Drosophila melanogaster: one gene and its partner. The protein of the gene in region 2 interacts with the protein of the main gene of each other region in a pairwise test. Each region holds a gene or a part of one and is shown on either strand. Other genes may lie near its edges.

Region 1 (4,676 bases), on a different chromosome or scaffold from region 2:
CCTCAACAGGTGCCCCAGAGCAACTACCTACCCGCCAACATCCTGAGTCGCCTGCGTCACTAGAAAATCGATTGTTAAACGTTGTTTTCGAATAAAAGTTATCTAATTTGGTTATGTAAATTATTGTATTTTCATTTGGTTAATTCCTTTAAAAATTGACGAAAGCAACATAAGTATGCAACAGTTTTCAAAATAAATTGTATACCTATTTATAGCAGCGATAATCGAATAAAAACAGAAAGAAAGAAGAAAGAAGAAATAAAAATACTTGTTCAAAACCCAAGATCTCAGCAGCCATAAACTGGTATTAAATTTTGAATATGGTTAAAGTATAAACTAGTTCCTAAGAAATATATAAGTGCTTCTACTTATGTGCGCTTTCAAAGTTTGCAAGAAAATATTTCGCTGCAAATAAATCCGAACTTGCGAAGTTTCGTTCCCAATGAACTCAGCCTGCAAAGTTTTTTGGTTTTTACAAATGCACTACAACAAGTCAAATTGGTTTTAAAATTTAAGAATTGAATTTATTTAAGCATTAGTCAACAAAAACTACGATTTAATATCAGTCAAAAATCGCTGGCGTTTTCGATTCCGAAAGGAGTGAAACGAGCGACTTAGACGCGACGGAAGACCGAAGATGGCAGGTAGGAGTTGTCGGGGCTCTGGGCGGCGGCCTGACGCACTGGAGCGGCGGAAGCGAAGTTCAGGACGGGGGCAACACCACCGTTGTGGGCCTGGCTGGATCCTCCCAGCTGGTCGTACTGACCCTGGATGGCGCGCTGGGCGTTGGCAGCGTCCTCGGGAGTGCGGTACTTGACGAAGTGCACCTCGGGCTTGTTGTTGTTGTTGCTGCGGATGGCGTTCAGCTTGTTGGCCAGATCTCCAATATCGGCCTGCTTGTTCAGGACATAGATGGCGGTCTCCTGCTGGGCAGCCTGCTTGGCGAGGGCCAGGGCGGCGTTCTCCAGGCCACGGTTCTCGGGTCCCTTGATGAAGACAACGCGCAGGGCCTTGTTCAGGGCAGAGGACACACGCTCCAGCTGCTGGGGCTCATCGAAGTCCTGCTCGTTGGCGGTGAAGGTGAAGAACTCCTTCTCCAGCTCGGCGGTTGGGGCAGGGGCGTTGTAGGAGACGGGGGCACTGAGGGCGTCACCACCACCAATGCTTCCGATGCTGCCAATGCTTCCACCACCAATGCTGCTCAGACCACCCAGACCGGCACCGCTTCCGATGCTGGCTCCAATGGAACCACCACCAATGGATCCTCCGATGCTGCCGCCTCCGATGCTGCCGCCTCCGATGCTGCCGCCTCCGATGCTGCCTCCTCCGATGCTGCCTCCTCCGATGGAGCCACCTCCAATGCTGCCACTTCCAGGAGCAAAGGACAGTCCGGAGCTGGAGTGTCCCACGGGCTGGTAGTTGTAGCCGAGCTTATCGGCGCAGGCGACTGCCACCAAGCACATAACCTGGAGATAAAGAAAACAGCATTGTAATCCTTGGTATCCTTTTGGAGTATTTCGTCGGCGATCGAACGTATACTTACAATGAAGGCACGCATTTTGAATTTAGTTCTTTGACTTTGACCACTTGGTTGTGTCTGACGTTTGCATCACCGAAAGGTCCAATATTTATACGAAAACCAACGATCGGTGTCACTAAACTGCGCTCAAGTTCATGCAGACTTTACCATCGTTGTATTTGTTGGCTCCGCAGCATTTTTTGGTAACTTCTTCGGCAGCTTTTGTCTCTTGAAATGCTATCCACCTTCGAAAAACGAAGCTTGTGCGATAAAACAATGGCCAAGCCGACGTGAACAAAGCGCATCGATACCTGGCCGCCCTATTCTTGCAAATGTTGGCGTCGACATTATGCTAATTCCACGATCCCTCAGTCCAAGTCGTAGTACCATCATCGAAAATTTTTAGGCACACGACCCTACCCGTCAAGTTGTAATCCAATAGAGCAGGCTCTCGGCGGAGGAAACGGCTGAAAACTCGTTTAGCAAAAGCCACTACTATAAATGGTCATGCTTTCAGTAAATGAAATGATTTTCTTCATATTTTGTATGCTAAAACATTTAGCGGAGCATCCAAACGAGTTCGAAAACGACTCGGTTTTTCTACACTTTTTAGTTGATCCAGCCGCATATTTCTAGCTGGGAATCCCCAGCGATTATTGCGTCCCCCTTTGGTATTTGGAATATTGTATATGGTATATGGTATGGTATGGTGTATGGTGTATGGTGTATGGAACTGGCTGCTCTAGGGTTTGGCCATATAAAACCCGAACACTGGACTGTGGACTGTGGTAGGGTTGAAAAACAATGGATCTGAAATGGATAGAAATCAATTTTCGCCAGCCTTTTTGCGCATCCATTCATTCATCCGTCCATCTATCCGACGGCCCATCTGTCCATTTGTCCGGAGCTCGTCGCTTGGCCATTTAACCTGTGGCAAAAACACGGCTTCGCAAAATAGAAGCCATAAAGCTAACAACCGTTGCGACCTTGAGGTTTTTTACTGTTGACCAGCACCCGAAGCTATTCGGAATTCGGCGGTAATCAGCTGGCGCCAGGCGACCATTTAATCTGATCAGCGATTATCACGTTTTTCATCATGGTTTATTGATATCATAAAAATTATGGTTTTTTATTTTATTTCGGCAAAGTTTTCGAGCAGAAGGGGGGTAGAGGCAGCAGCAAATCCGCTGAAAACTGATTTGATTTGCATAATTTAGGAGAAATACCCAAGATCCATATTTAAGATAGCCGAACCGATTTGCAAATCAATAGTGGCGAATGCCAATCGCGGTTATGACTAATATATATATTGATTGATATCACGGATAACTATAGCGATGAGTAACTCGAAGATGGGGTCAGTTAGGAAATCCGCTAAGACATCACAACCATGATATCATTTTCAGTGACGGACACACACAAGTTCTATATGGTTCTATATCTAATGATGCTATATGATGCCCCCCATTCCACGCTGGCCGGGATCCAATTAAGATTCACATTCGAAGCAATAACCTAAAGTCAAAAACAATTTGTCTTGGCTTTGTGTGCGGCCCCACCTTTTGCCCACTGCCAACTGTTGCGGCTCGCCGATTGGCCAGCATCTCAGCCAAGTTAGTCGCTGGTGGCAATGTCATATGCAAACTAATCAAATGTAAGCATAATAAAACAACCCAGCCACAATTTCAAGGTCTCGGGCGCCACACGCACATAAAAGATGCACGCAGCAGCGACATAAAAAGTGGTCAAAACGCGGGAAAAGAGTTTCCAGCACGAAATCGAAGATAATAGCGGTCGGACGACGTTGGCGTATCAATAAATAAATAAAAAAAAAACGGCTCAAGCGGACAAAAAACATCTACGGGAGGGAATTTCTGGCACCACTTTATGTAAATGGCCTTTTGGGTCAATCGATCTATTTACAAAATCTGACACTGTTTATTATTTTATCCATTATTTTTAGTCTTTCTCTCTTCGAGACAACAAGACTGCCCCTATATTATTTTATTGCCATTGTACTGGCACCCACCAGAATGTCGAAACGAATAAAATTGTGCATTTAATTTATTCGGCTATCACCTGGCTGGTGTCAAAACCGGGCGGTGCCTTTCAGGTGCAAAAATCCAATCAAATCTGTCGCCTCACCATAAATTGGAGCATTAGTAATTTCCTTAAATCATAAGCTTTATTTACGAACGACAAATTTGCCAGTTAAACCCCAGTTAAACGAGTTTGTTTGCTTCTAGCCTTTCTTTTGCAAAAATGTTTGGAGCTGCCGGCTTTTCGAACTCTTTTACGAGCAGACCGTTTCTATTCTTCTCTAGATACGAGTTTTAGTTGCCAAAATTATTTCCGCATGCCTGGCGACAAATAAAAAACAAAAAATGTTACCCAAAAAGCTGACTGGCTTGCCGCAAAATCGTTTCTCTTTTGCAAAAGAAATATATGCAAATATATTAAATCTGATATGCAAATAGCCGATATCAATTATTTCAAGCGCAAAAACCCGAACCAAACCATGGAAACTAAACTAAAGCTTATGCTAAAAAAACGCAATATTTTAAAAAACCTATCCGAGAGTGCTGAAAGGAATAAATCAAATCAAATTTCGCCGAGCTGGCCAATTTGTTTGGCAAATTGTGTTAGCGATATAAATATTTTGTATTGACAATCAAACGGCAACGACGACAGATGCTGATTATTATTTTGCGTGTTTATGTATTTTTTGCTTGCAACCAGCTAAATGGCCGAGATTATTTATTAAAAAGTTAGCCATACAAGAGATTTCTGTTTGTGCACATCAGCCGAAAATGGCATAAGAAATCAACAATAGGAAAAAATATAGAAAATATTAAAAAAATATGCTCTATGCTTTATTTCTACATGGATAGAGCGATAAGAGCGGCAAATAAATTTGCGGCTTTTTGCGCGATCCTTGGCACCCACAAGAAGGCAATAAATTATTTTCGAGGTCTCCTTAGTACGCATTCTGCGCAGTAAAAAACACATTTTTGTCTGCCTTATAGTGCATATTGTCGTCGACGCTTGAGCTCTCCATTTTATTTTAATTGCAGGCCTGCCTCTGCCTAATGCCAGCTTAATGTCCCAGTTTTCAGGATCCCGGACTCTTTACGAGCAACAGCACGGTCCCAGTGCA
Region 2 (2,840 bases):
CGTTCCTTCTGGATAAGCTCCTTCTTCATCTTCTAGCTCTTCCCCTACTGTGAGCCCCGCCTGCAGCGCCCAGCCAACTGGCAGCTGACTTGTTTACACAACACTTTGCATGTGTGTTTGTGTGTGCGGCCATTGCACATGTGTCCATGTCCATGTCCTGCAGGGGGAGTGGCAGGGGCGGTGGCGAAAGGATGGCAAAGTCAGCAAGCAAAGCTCTGGCGGCTTAATGGACGAAACGTGCTGTTGAATTAATTTCTGGCTTTATGCTCTCAATTTTTTCCTTCCGTTTTCCATTCAGCCGCCTTCGTTTTTTCTGCCAGCAGGCAGAAATATATGTACGTCTATGTATTGAATTTCAATTTTTAAGTACTTCAAACATTAAGCCCTACTAAAAACAAAATAAAGAACATTTTAAATAAAAAAAAAACCATTATAAAATTAAACGAAAATTCATAAACACTGACTGGCTTTTTACACAAAAATTAAATATATTAATAATTATGAAAACAATAATTTTTATTATAATCTACAATAGATTTGTGAGATACATTTTTGTTTGTTTGCTTACTCTGTATGAAAAATGTTCAATTTTGCTTGCTGTCTCAGCTCAAATGGGGCTGTGCATAAAGCCTACGAAATCGCGCAAGCTTATGCGACCATCGCCATCCATATCGACTGCTTGGCAGATATCCTTAATATCGTCATCGGTTACGACTTCGCCCAGGACGACCATAATGGCACGAACATCCTGGACGGTGACGTAGCCGTCGCGATCGCGGTCAATCATGTTAAAGGTCCGGCATAGACTTTTATCACTATCCACATTGGCCATTCGGGGCGCCATCATGCGTATAAATTTTTTCAAGTCCAGCCTCTCCTCGTCTCTCACAGCCACCGAATGGATGAGATCGTACAACTCTGCCTCAGTGATTTCGTAACCCACTGATATTAGAGCCAGTCGCACCTCGTTGGCTGATAATGTGCCATTCGAGTCCAGATCATACTTTTCAAAGGCATCCCTCAGTTCGTCGATATGCTCATTCGTCAGCTCATTGCCGGAAAAAGAAGGCATGGCACTAGCAAATAAAACCCTAAAGTAGTTCAGGAAAATCAGGAATACAAAAAAAAAAAGGAGAAATGGGGAAAAACCGATGTGTATGAAAACTGACAATCAACTCAACTCAACCGAACTCAAACTCTGTTCTCGATGGCTAATAAAACACTTAGGCAAGCAATTGTTGTTGTTGCGGTCACAAACTTTTCCGGAATAATAATGCATCATATACTCGTACAAGGGGCAATAAAGGGAAAAAATAAGGAAAGCAGAGATGCTGAAGCATGCAACGTTTGGAGAACCATCCATCAATTTGTCAATTCAGCGCTTGCCTTTGAGTGGCCGTCCATGGGACAGGAATGATGTTAGATGACGATGATGATGATGATGGGCAGTAGTTGTGCTGTGGAGTGCTGGCCATAAAAAATCAAGCGGGCATATAAATTGAAAGGATGCTCTTGTACTAGCTGAAAGGATTTTTTGTAATCCCTGTCCAGTTTCAAGTAATTATATTGAATAAATGCTATCATAGTTGGACTTTTAAATTTCAACCATACTGTGAAATATTTTTGAGAAAATCCTAATTAAGACTGCTGTAATTTCAGCAAATAAGAAAACATTTATTTAACCACACCTTCTGTCTAATGCTTCTACCTCCGCCTCCTCAAATCCCTACAATCGCAGGGGACGCGAAGCCACTGACTTGTCAGGGATTTCTAGGCTTAGAAATAAGTTTTCCGACAGCCCATTTGATTCATTCAACTTTGAGGCCTGCTCTTGTTGCGTTCATTCCCCCAAAGACTTTGAGCCGGATGATAAGCAAATGAAATGTTGTCGCCGTCCCACATGACGAATGATTAATGACACGAATGATACATTTCTCCCGGGGGCAAAAACCACGCGCCACGGCCAGTCAAAAGTTTAAACCCAACTTTAACCATGGCAGGCACTTTTTCACTCGGTGTCACGGTGCCTGGCTGCAAATTTCGCTAGTCAGAGCTTAGTGGGGGATACTGTTTGCAAAGTGACTGAGTCCGGAGTCTTCTTCTGCTACATTAGCCTACTTCCTCCGCTCCACAAGCAACAGCCCACTCAGGATTCCTCTGATGCTGCAACAACTTGTGCTTGTGTATTTGCTTAAGCCGAGCTCGCTTTCCTGTTTCCTTCCGCTGCCTTTCCACTTTTCCACATTCCCACCGCTTCCATGAAAAGGGGGTGGGGGCGCAATGGCGAAGGGGCGCTGGGGCGGGGTCTCAGGAAAATTGATTTTGAAATAGTTGGTCTGCCTTTTTAAATTTGATTGACGTTATTACATTACATAACATCGCACACTAAGAGGAAAGGCGAAGCAGCTGGCTTAAGTTATTCATCCATTTAGCCCCACTTAGGGGCGGGGGATGGTGGTGGTTGGCAGCTAGGGGCGGCGGGTGATTGTGACGGGCAACAACAAGTGGAAAACTGTCATTATATTTGAGTTATTGATGGTTTTTTTTTTTCAAAATCATTTTGCAACAATGTTGCTGCTACCCAACCGCACCGACACACTCACACACACACCAACACACTTTAGTCACACGCTGACAGGATCTACTCCCCCTCAACCGCCACCCCCTTACCCTTCCGCACACACACACACACACTGTTACATTTACGCTTAGTTAAACGCATGGCTGTGGCTTGTTAACGCCGACAAGCGCAAAAGTTTGCCGTTCGCCAAATGCTTGCGATAATCGACAAGCTCTCACATACTCAACCGAATGCACTCAAAAAAATGCGAGAGAATGCT

The links. The genes of interacting proteins can lie anywhere in the genome.
Region 1: the proteins of CG13526 (region 2) and TwdlM interact in a two-hybrid assay, tested with the Drosophila melanogaster proteins (one large-scale study listed by BioGRID).

The regions. Positions count from the first base shown.
Region 1 is NT_033777.3:26,616,049-26,620,724, reverse strand, and holds TwdlM (TweedleM), read right to left. Parts: upstream 1,608-4,676; 5' UTR 1,559-1,607; coding exon 1,544-1,558; intron 1,467-1,543; coding exon 615-1,466; 3' UTR 501-614; downstream 1-500. Other genes in the region: TwdlP (TweedleP), read left to right, coding at 1-63.
Region 2 is NT_033778.4:22,753,557-22,756,396, reverse strand, and holds CG13526 (uncharacterized protein), read right to left. Parts: upstream 1,179-2,840; 5' UTR 1,073-1,178; coding exon 608-1,072; 3' UTR 501-607; downstream 1-500.